Linked DNA regions of Caenorhabditis elegans. The protein of the gene in region 1 interacts with the protein of each later gene in a pairwise test. Each region holds a gene or a part of one and is shown on either strand. Other genes may lie near its edges. The genes, in order: mus-101 and sld-2.

Region 1 (7,813 bases):
AAATTATTGATTTTTTCAGTGGAAATATGACATATGTATAAGCGAAACTTTCGTTAAAACATTAAATGTATTGTAACAAATAAGCTCCGAAATTCAAATACCTTTTGAAGAATTTTAAAAGTAAGATATTTTGGTGTGGGACTAAAACCAAAATTTCTGGAAACGTTGTTAAAATTTCAAATACTAATCCAAAAAATACATAAGAAAACCATTCACTAGAGCGTAATTGCAAAAAGGGTAGTGCAAGAGAATGGAAGTAATTTATTGATTATTTTCCCGTTGTGCAAACCGTAGACAGCGGGAACATATGGCATGAGAGGCAGCTGCGCGCGTTTTCCCACTTGTTTGAAAAGATATTCTCTTATAAGAAATGAAACGAGAAGAATAAAATTACGTTATTTAAACGATTCAAAATAAATTAAAGCAACGAGGACAAGCAAAATTATTGAAAACTTTACGAAACAAAAAATTGAAACAATCACTAGAAATTTAAAAAAGACAAAAAATGAAACCAATTAAAAATATATAGCACATTTAGAAAATCGGAATGGCTCATGCTTTCATGTAGACATTATGCCAAAACTTGGTTCGATTTAGATTATCTCTGTCGATTAGGAAGTCGTAAAGGATGTCGAAGACGTAGATCGGAATATTATCACGTTTCAGCAACACAGCGCTCTTAAAATTTGAATAAATTTTATCGAAGAGATTTTCTTAATTTACCTGAGGATTCCATGGGAACTCTTTGGATGCCAAAACAATGTTAGGCTTAAGTGTAGATACTTCTACATACTCGGAAATCGAATGAACAATGGCACCACCGGCTTCCAGAATCGATGAAAATACGCCAGCTCTCTTATCGTCGAGATGAATTACGCAACGCCAATCCGAGAATGCTCCATTTTGACGATTCTCCTGAAAGATTTGCCCGTTTCAAACAGGTTGAGCAGACTAGTGAGTTTTGAATGTTTTTGGTTCTAGTAAATTTAAATTTCAATTCAGAAATTGACCCAAAAAGCCAGAAAGCTACATATCTAGAAACTGACCATGCTAACTGAAAATGTAACCGGCATCTCTGCCACACGTTGCCTCCATAATCCACAAACAGCTGCTAGATTCTCGGAAACTTTCCGACTATCTCGTTCTTTGAGGGACTCGTTCTTTTTCGAACACGCCAACAACTTTTCTCGAGTCCACTCAAATGATTTTTCATCGAGCCATCGACCAACTTCAGCACTTTTAGTCACATAATCAGGTGTTAGACACCATTTTCCAGCTGCAATTGAGCAAAGAACTTTTGGAGCTCTTTGCATGTTGCTCGCAATCAGATGAGTCACATCTTTATTGAATTCACGTTCGATGGTACCACCAAGCTTCATGATAGTTTCTTGTAGATCTGCGGCTCGCTGAAAAAAACAAATATATAGAATTGAAAATCAAAACTTAAGAAATCTAACTTGAGGATCCATATTAGAAACACTGAGCAAAAAACGTGGATTCATTGCATATCGACGGTTCAGATCTTCGTGTTCTTGATTTTGATCTGCGAATGATTCATCCATTGGCATATATCTCATTGAACGGTTTACATCACGAACAAGAACGGGAGTCTGAAAAATACACATTTATCTCATAGTTTTAATAAGCTGGCTATGAGTTTAATATATTTAATTCCTTAAACTATTCGGACAATACTGGAAACTATTAAATCTTCTAACGGTGATATACAACAGAAATGCCATACACTAGAGACAGTTTTTCGATTTTCTGGAACTCTGGGTCGAATTAGGTGGCACGTGGAAGGCTCATCCTCGAAATCTTCGTTTCTTCCAGTGTTCACGACAGCTTTTCGAAGGATGCTTCCAACTCGAGAAGTTGTCAGCGTTTCCTGTGTTTCACGTGCCGGTGACTCCATATTGTTGATGTATTCGCTAACACCGTCGAGTTGGAGGCTATAAAATTGGATAACATTGACAAATTATGTGTTATTTTAAAGTTTTGCAACTAAATTTTTTTTTCAGAAATATCTAAATGAGTTTAAGATATTACCATTATAACTCCCAAAAATGCTCCGAAAATACGGTCCGGAGAAATATTCTCCCGATTCTTCAAAATTTAATGTAATAATGTCTCATGTTTTTTTTCTTTTTTAAAATATACATTTCAAAAAACCTGATCAACAATATTTTTGAGATGAAGCTCCAGGAAAAGCTTATTAATAGAGAAAAAGTTGCACAAAATGCTGAAATACACATTTCTTTTTTTGAAAATCGCAATAACCTACAAATTACGGTAGTTAAAATTTAGAATTTCACAATTTTCATAATTTGCAACCAGAAAACTCACTTCATCGTATATGGCTTTCGAAGATCGGGGAAATAAGGATTCACATAGGGGGTCGTCATGTCACCGATGTTCCCATTCCCAGTTTCTACTGGTAGATCCTGTACTCGATGTCTATCTTCAACCTCAACTTCCATTTCTTGTGTACTATTATTCTTCTCTCGAGAACACTTTTCCCAGAGATCATCGTCTCGTTGAAATCCACTTAGAGGCCTCGTGTTGTTCTTATACAGGAAGTTATCAATTGGCTGCAATCGACATCTGCTCACACTGGCTATAATCCATGAAAAATCGAGTGTTCGGGAATGGTATCTTGGTGGATTGTCTTCTGCATCAATCATAATAATAAAATCCTTTGGTTCCAACTGCTCCACAATTCTTCCTCCATTGTCCTCGATAATATCTCTTACACGATCACGGAGAAATGGATCTTTGCATTTTAATTGGAAGCCACGTTGATTGAAAATTAGAATTGGAGGACGGGGAAGTGGTACAAATAATGGATAACACGATCGATTGAGAAATCTGTTGTTTCCGATGCTCGCGTACTGAAAAATAAATATATTGTCTGGCATATTGTCAGGTTTCAATCTTTACAATATAAAAATCCGTGACAACAGCATCAAATGAAATCAACTCGTGCATTGGTCCAGAATGTCCGAAAATCACAAACTCCGCATAATCTGGATCGTCCATCAGTTTGCCTCCATTCAACGGAATTTTCTCTTTCAAATCATCAGAAACTTCTTGATCGACGGAACAATGGACACAATACGTGTGATATCTGAAAATGAGAATATGGAAAAGGAACATAAAAAAATAAAATACAATCGTACGAGAAAATTCCGACTTGAGTTGAAGTAGAGCTTGGTCCTGATGTTTTACCATATGGAATGGTTGATTTAGACGAGGTCCGGGGAAGAGGCTGAGGTCTTACTGGTTGCAGTTGAGATTGAGAAGATTGTGATTCATCAGCTGTATTTTCAGTCCATTGATAACCTGAAAAAATTAATAGTTAAACTGTTCGTTCCATCCAGAGGTATTCGACACTTTTTTCGGTTCACTGTTGTATCGAAGTTTTTTTTTCCGGAGAATCATACATATATTATAAATATTTGTTATTTTCTGAAGATAACTTTATTTTCAGTTAAGTTTTGAGAAGTTGCATCAAAAGTTTCGTCGAAATATTTTGGTGTTTTTTGAGAACATCGAAATTATAAGGAAAAAATTGGGAGATATGTCAAAAATAGGTTTATGTTGATGAGAAAAAAAAAGTTTTGTAAAACGAAACTTCGAAGTTAAAAAAAAATTCAGTTTTAAACTGAAATCTTCAAGCAACTTATCGAAGCTATTAATTAAAGATGAAGTTTTCTTCAGAAAATACAAATATTTCTCTATTTACAAATTTCCGAAAAAAAACTTCGAAAGAGAAAGAGGATGTTGTAAAAGTGCTGAGACCTTCCACTGAAATCATTTTCCGCTGTTTGACACACTCGACCACCCATCCAACAGTAACAATTGCAATATCTTCTTGATGAAGGTGTTTTCGAATGGTAATTCGTTCTTGTTGATTCGGCGAAACTACAACCACATTCGTTGCTGATGTGAATTTTGCGACACGCGTTGCTCCAGTCTCGTTCAGAAATCGACGCCATTTTTCCATTCGAGACTCGTCGACTCCACATATATAGAACATGCAGTTCTGAAAAATTGATGTTAATTTTGATTTAAAGAATAGAAAAAAAAAACTTCAAAAAGATCTCCAAGTCCATCGTCAATATTTTTTCGAAGTTCATCGATAGGATCAGAAATAACGTCAGCAATATTTTGAACGGATGCTGTTTGAGTAGTTGGATATCGAATCAGTGGAGTAGTTTGAACTCGAGCTATTGGAGTTGATCTGAATATCGAAAATTCATTGTTCTTTCTAAAATTTCCGTTTTCACATACATTCCATCTCTAACTCCGCTTCCAGATCTTCCTAATGTTGAATCATTATTCGTAAAAGTACTCGACGGGATTTTTGACGTAGAAGCAAATGAAATAAACGAAGATCCTGATTGATGTTGATATGATTGATCCATTTGTGGAATAGAAGAATTGAATGAAGATGTACCCAAACGACCTCCATGTCCAGCGATTGATGAGATATCCGGCACACTTTCAGTCACATTAGCATCACGTTTCGGGGTGGAAGATCGAATATGATCAGCCGTTAAATATTTTGGATGATATTTTCTGTAAAACGCTTTTTCTGGCAACATCATTTGAATGGAAAGTAGAGCGCCCAAAAACGAGCAAATTTTATAATGAAACACAGAAAAAAAAACTGAAAAAAAAGGATTATTTTGCTAAAAACGGAATTTTCATTTTCCTGTCATTGTCGCAGTTTTTATTAAATCCTAAATTTTTATTGCATGTTTTGATAGCTTATCTCGCGTAAGCTCGTTGATTTAAGAATATATTTTTTCTGCAAAATGTTCCTCTTTTTCGGATTTTTTAATGTTTTTTGAATGAATGTCGCTTGATTTGAGCCAATTCCCTCTCAAAAACGAACCCCGCATCTACAAGATGTCCTAAATCTACACATTTCCGAATCCATCGAGACTGCACAATTTGCATTGATTTCCATTCAACAGCTTTTGCATATTTTACTCCAGTAATTTTATCACTGATAAGATAGCTACATCTGGTTTTTGACATGGTTCCAGGCACTTTTCCTCCGTGATCTTCAATCAGCTGAATGAAATTGGTACGATCAGCGCCGTCGATCGATGTGATTGCCATTTCCTGAATTTAAATGTATAAAACTGAAATTCAAATTCATGATTTCGATCACTCACGAGCCCTTCAAAAACTCTCAATGCATAGGAATTAACTGAATCCCGCGATAAAGCACTAAATCTGCCCATTGTGGTTTGAGAAGTTTCCCAGAGATCATCAATCCATCCGATTCGCATTAATTTGATTGAATTATTGACAGCAGCCTGGAATTTTTTTATTTTATTTTAAATTTCTGCTTGATATACTATTTAACCTTATACTTTTCCGTCTGTTCTGCTTTTTCAGTTACTAGGTGAGTCGTTTCGTGATATAGAGCATCTCCAACCACTCCACACATCCATCCGATTTTTTCGTAGAGTTCTTGCTTTTTCGTAAGATTCAACCCGGTGAAACTGATTTTTACGTCTTGAAAAACACTGGAATACACTGGATGATTCCATTGTGGGAGCTGCTTCCCATCTTCGATACTTTCAAGAACAATTGGAGGACCGTATACTCTGAATATTGTAATTTTATTTTGTGGACTTGAATTTATTTGAATTTAATTTAACACAAACTTCAATTTCCGGGCTTGAAGTTTTCGAAAAAGCTTTCCGCGGAAACAGGGTAAAACGAAAAAGTCTTCAGATTTCTGCAGATCTTCGAGTGCATCTGAATCAATCCATTCTGGCATGATTCCCACAGCTTTTGCAGTCTGAAAATACGCCTAAAACTTGAAAAATAAATAAATTAATAACGCAATACTTTGAATAACTCTTCTAAATTGCGAATTTCTTTGACTGTTGGTTCATTGGGAAGATCGACAAAGTACAATGTGAACGGAGAATCTTCTTCATCGTCATCGCAAAGCACCGACTCGTCTTGCATCCTACTGACCTGAAATTTGAAGTTTTGATATTAAAATTGTTGAAAATCAGATATAATTACCTCACTCCTTCGTGCCTTCTTCGGGGCCGGAGGTGCCTCCATTGTAAAATCTGGAATATTTTGATAATAAAAAAAGCTAATTTCGCCAGTAAAAAACTCAAGAATTGGCAGGGTAGGGTGTTAACATTAAGTTCAAAAATGACAGTTTCGCGCGTGTGAAATGCGAACAGACACGACGGGAAGTGGTATGACTGTCTGCGTCTCTCGATATTCTGAATAACAGAACTGCTGACAGTTTCTCTCATTTGTATGAAGAAATTTGTGAAAAGAGTTCAATCTGGAAGATGGAAATGTGAACATGGAGAAAACAATTGATCAGAGTAATTTAAATTATCTCAAAGCCAAAAACTGTACGGAACAGCGGCTTATAGCATCTCTATTTGAATGAAAATTATATAGCAGTTTCTCTTTAAAAACTTTTCCGAAAAAATCATCGGAAAAACCACTTCCTATTTTCCAAGTATCATCGCGCGTAAGTATTGTCCTTTTTGGATTTAAGGTTCAACGATACATTTTCACATACTGAAAAATGACGATACATTTTCATATTAGCGAGGAAAGGATGAAGAGTTCAACAACACCCAAAATTTCGAGATTCTACCGGAAGTTGATGTAAAAAAAAAGTAAAAAAAAAGGAGACCCGAAGAACTCGGGGATGTCCAATTGGGGGGATTACCAACTCGGGGGATTGGCCCCGCCCACAGAACCGTGGCTTGCAATACGCCCATTTCTGCAACTGCCGCACGGTTTTGAAACTGTATTTTTCTTGTTAATTCTCGCTCTATTGAGAAAAATACAGTTTCGAAACCGTGCGGCAGTTGCAGAAATGGGCGTATTGCAAGCCACGGTTCTGTGGGCGGGGCCAATCCCCCGAGTTGGTAATCCCCCCAATTGGACATCCCCCGAGTTCTTTGGGTCTCAAAAAAAGTAAACTATAAATTTTCCGTGGATCTGCAAAATTACGTGAAGTGTTTGTTTGCTTACGTTGCATACCGTAATCTGGAAAGCCGCCAATATCCTAAATTTCTCATGTCAAAAATCTTCAAGCTTGCCGGCCCAATTAACATTTTCAATTAACACCGAAAACACCGGAAACATATTTTTAAAAATGTAAAATGAACACGTGTATTCAGCTCGACCAACGCCTCGAAAATTTTCACAAAAAGGCGGGAAAAAATATTTGAATTCCCCAAGAGGAATTTCACCGCAGCGCGTGCAAAAGTCTGCATTTGCGCGTGACGGTGTTTGCACAAATTACACCGAATGGTCGAGCTGAAAACACGTGATGAATAAAAAACCTTTAAAAACTGTTGGTCTTAAAGGACCTATTCAATATGTTGTTGCTGGGTCTCACCACGATTGCTAATTAATACCGTAGTCAAGAGGCTTGGAAATCTTTTTTCCTAATATTCCATAAAACTTGTAAAATCTTTTGAAAATGTCTTTGTCTTCTTCAATTTCATGGTGTAAAATTAGTTTATTTCGAAAAATTTCGGTCAAAATTATGTCAATTTCAGTTTCAGACATGAAAACATTTAGAATAGATCAAAAATTGTTTGTCCCCAGTTTACGGCGCGAGCGGAAAATTTATGCGATTGTGTTTTCAAACTCGGAAGTTTTTTTTTTTTTCATACGGCTCAACGGCTCGATTCTTGATCAGTTTTTTCCATACTTTCTTGAAAAAAACAGGTCATTTTAAACCTTTTATCTATCTCTTACTTCTATTATATGATTTTATTTACGAAGCTAAAATGCCCAT
Region 2 (3,957 bases), 6.7 Mb from region 1:
TGTAATTAGCCATAAAACATCCTCCGATCGGTTGGCTATCAAATCGGCATCCTCAACATCAACTGGAATCGTTAACCGATAATATCACATTATCGGTTACATTGCTGTATATATACATTGTTGAAGGGATTTGGCATCGAATTGAAAAATTAGAAAAAAAATTCAAGTTGGAAGTCTGAATAGAGATTTTTCCTCTTTCAAAACTATTTTCAATCTAAAAAACCCTGAAATATTTGCAAATCTGCTTATTATATTGCGAAAATTTGCGATTTTAATGTAAAAAGACGGGTCTCGAAGCGACCGGGTTTTAAAGGGTACTGTTGTTGGAAATTTTTTGTTGCTGCCATATTTTAATTGACTATCTCAATTTGTCCCCCGTTTCTTGAAAATTTATCGAAAAAATGTGAAAATGCATAAAACATATACATAAAAATTTGAAGAACCTGGAGAAAAACTATGAAAAATCGATGAAAATTTGGCGAAAATTAGGAATTGGAAACTACAGTACTCTTTAAAGGCGCACACTTATTTGCAATAATTAAAAATCGGTCGCTTCGAGACCGAGTACAGTATTTTCGTGCAAAATATCAATATTTCATCTCTGTAATATGAATTTAACCAAAAAAAAATGCACTCTATTTTTATTCCCTAAAATTCCGATTCGAAAAAAGTTGAAGCTTTAGTTCTCCTGCCCCAGAACGCAATTAAAAAAAAAAAACTTTAAAACTTTTATTGCGGTTTTTGAAAAACCCGATAAGTGAATGATAAAATAAAATACATAAAAATCCGAATAATAATAATGTAAAAATGAAATTCTAGACAAATTAGAATATTCAGTACTTCTTCTTGAACATTTGTTTTCTCTTCAACTTTCGCTTCTGCTCTGCGGTAACTTTTCCGCGAACGAATTGCTTCTTTCTCAGATTGATTTTCTGGAAGTTTTGATCGCTTTTTGATGAACCGCCGAGTTTTCTGGCTGCTGGATTGTAGGAACGTGCTTTGGCAACATCTTCGTTTCTGAAAAAAAATTATAGATTGATTTGCATGAAATGTGTCAAAAAAATGCTTAAAATAGCCTGGAATCTGCAAATTTCCGAAAATTAAAGCTCGAAATTTCAATGAAAATCTAAAACTCACGTCTCATCATCGAATTCTTCAACCGGACCTTCAACTTCTTGACCCTTTTCCGGCGTTGGTAAGAGAAGCATTTTGAGATCCTGAAATAGGAAAATGGAAATTTTAAATTAGTATTTAAATAAAACAAACCCTCAATGGTCTCTGGTAAGCGCGTTTTGTTGGAGATTTGATCGGTGTTAGCGTAGATTTAACGGCAGATTTTGATGTGCTCGCGGAGTATGACTTCACAGGGGAAAAGTCGTCGAATTCGAACGGAACTGATCCCACTGGCTTCTGAAATTTAGTTTATTTTATTATTATAAAGATTATTAAAGTTTCAAACCTTTTTAGGCGACACCATGCTCTTTTCCGGCAAAACTTCGATCGCAATCATTTTCTGCAATTTTATTTTAAATTTCAGCAGTTTTTAATGCGATATCAACCTTTCTGGGTGAAGATCTCAGTGGAATTGGATTTTTATCATTTTCCGAGCCGAGCTGATTAAGATTAACTCGTTTTTTGATAGGGCTGAATTGCTCGCCTTCCATCATTTTCATTTCGAAATTCTTCCGCTTCACTCCACGTTTCGCTTGCTTCTCTTCGATTTTCTCGTCATTCTCCTTCTTTTCAGATTGAAGTATAGCTGAAATAATAATTTAATGTAAATACGTTTTTTTTTCCATTAATTACCTTTAATATGATTCGGAGCTACAGAAATATCTCCTGCCGTTGGTGATCTTCCATAAATCTCTCGGAAAGACGTTTTCCACTCTTCCATTACGTTCGGGCTGAAAATAATTTAAAAATTTAATTTGAAATCGAAAAGATTCGGCAGAAAACATGTGAAAACAAAGAAAATAAGAAAATAAATAGAGAAAATGAGAGCAAAAACCAAAAAACCAGGAGCTGTTTTCAAAACTCGCGCCAAAAATGTGTGGCAAGTGCGCTCCACCGCACACTTTTCCAGCGCTTGCTTTGAATCGCAGCTCTGTTTTATATATTTTTTCCACGTTTTATCTGAAAATTTCCAGATTTGTAGCCTTTTTTCTGTATTTTCTTGCTTTTAAACTGATATTTTGATGAAATTTTCTGAATAGGATAATATGAATAGAGAATATGAACTGTCAATTAGGAAACGCGTGCTTATTCCATATTAGGAATAAAATTTTAAATAATTCTACTTGGTTTTTAATTAAATTCAACTCCTTATTGTAAAGTTTGTAAACATTTGACTAATTTGAAGCTGTATTCCTTGAATTGTACTAAATAATTTGTTATTTAACATTAACATCATCTTCCTCTATCAAATATTTAGCCGAATGACATTTTCATTGAATTCAACTTTCTCTCCACTCCAAAACCTTGGCTCCATGAAATTGTCGAACTAATCGAAGAATTGCTGAAAAGGGATATGTCTCTGTTTCCATACTTCTTCTCCATCTCCCTTGCTTTTCTATTTCATTTCTCTTGCGGGTCCCTAATGATGGCAGGAGAGCCCCGTCCGCTGCCTTCAGTATATTCCAGGCTTTTCGCTCTAGAAAAAACAATCGAGAAGCGCGTCTTCTTCCTCTTCCCAGTTCTTGTTGCCTGCCATTCGTCCCTCCATTTTTCACATCGTCGTCTGCGTACCATATTGTGCACACATTCCCCTTCTCACTTTTTTTTTGCGTTGTCTCCGTCTCTTTGTGTCGTTCAACGTGTCTCTCTCTCTCTCTGCCCTCACAAAACCGGCTGACACGACACGGTCAGAGAAGAAGAGTCTGGCCACTGCTGCTGCGCCCGTCGCCCCTCTCTACGCTCCTTCTTCTCCACCACCCACTTCTCCATTCGCTTCCATAAGTCGGATGACGTGATACTGACTTCTTCTCCTTCGTTCACCATTCTCCACGGCGTCGACGTCCCTTTTCGGAGATGGACACGTTCGAGCTCGACTCGGACGCCTTCTACATTTGCACAGAAGTGTCACCGCGAAACTTTGTCGTTCAGAAGGTTTGTGTCATCTAATTTGCATTCGGGCGTGCCTCTGTGTAACGAAACACTCCTTTAAAGATTTGTATGTAACTAGAAAAATAAAATGGCTACTTTAAAAGTTAACAAACCCCATTTTAGTAGGGGTTTTTTATCGAAAAGTGTCAGCTACTTCTACGTCTACTTTCACTTAGTCTTCGCACCTATACCATAAAAACCGGATCTCGTTTCACTTTTCTTTAAGTCGTATATCGTGCGCTCCATAATATTTCACGGAGAGTTCAAATATTGCTTGAAATAATTTTTAGAAATACTCCGTGCTTTCCTTGAGTAAAGATAATTTTTTTTCTCAATTTTAAAATAATTCTGAAATATTTTGGAAGAATCATCTCAAAAGTTCATTTTCTGCATCTGCAAAAAGTATATTTCGCTTAAAAACGTATGACGCAAAGCCCCCGTTTGAATAACAGTTTCCAAAGTACTTTTTAAGTATTCTGGCAGCTGAATTGCACCTGCCTGGATATATTTCTCGTAGAGTTTTCCCGTGTGTTGTCTACTTCTTGCCCCATTCTGCCATTGAATTCTGCCACTGAATTCTGAAAATAGACGTATATATTTATTATCAAATCTTTATGATGTTTAATTAATAGGCACCAACTTTTTTTTCCTTTCTGACTCTGACGTAATTTAGACAAATGTATAATAGAGGAAAAAATGTGATTACTCCAAAACAATTCTTCCCGTGACGTCACGAAGGTTCACACAACGGCATATTTGTCGCTTCTGATCGATTGTGTTTCCAGAACTGGTCCTTCTTGGGTCAAAGACATAAAAAAATGTATGTGTATGTACGCGCACACCTTTAACCTCTTC

What was found.
Region 2: the proteins of mus-101 (region 1) and sld-2 interact in a two-hybrid assay, tested with the Caenorhabditis elegans proteins (one study listed by BioGRID).

The regions. Positions count from the first base shown.
Region 1 is NC_003279.8:10,478,866-10,486,678, forward strand, and holds mus-101 (BRCT domain-containing protein), read right to left. Parts: upstream 6,100-7,813; 5' UTR 6,097-6,099; coding exon 6,055-6,096; intron 6,004-6,054; coding exon 5,872-6,003; intron 5,834-5,871; coding exon 5,685-5,833; intron 5,625-5,684; coding exon 5,381-5,624; intron 5,331-5,380; coding exon 5,187-5,330; intron 5,134-5,186; coding exon 4,901-5,133; intron 4,582-4,900; coding exon 4,294-4,581; intron 4,244-4,293; coding exon 4,093-4,243; intron 4,046-4,092; coding exon 3,802-4,045; intron 3,343-3,801; coding exon 3,180-3,342; intron 3,128-3,179; coding exon 2,941-3,127; intron 2,892-2,940; coding exon 2,347-2,891; intron 1,953-2,346; coding exon 1,745-1,952; intron 1,611-1,744; coding exon 1,458-1,610; intron 1,407-1,457; coding exon 1,047-1,406; intron 916-1,046; coding exon 724-915; intron 679-723; coding exon 553-678; 3' UTR 437-552; downstream 1-436.
Region 2 is NC_003279.8:3,739,405-3,743,361, reverse strand, and holds sld-2 (Ribosome biogenesis protein NOP53), read right to left. Parts: upstream 1,912-3,957; 5' UTR 1,895-1,911; coding exon 1,807-1,894; intron 1,760-1,806; coding exon 1,560-1,759; intron 1,514-1,559; coding exon 1,460-1,513; intron 1,411-1,459; coding exon 1,267-1,410; intron 1,218-1,266; coding exon 1,138-1,217; intron 1,018-1,137; coding exon 834-1,017; 3' UTR 715-833; downstream 1-714. Other genes in the region: larp-5 (HTH La-type RNA-binding domain-containing protein), read left to right, coding at 3,028-3,105.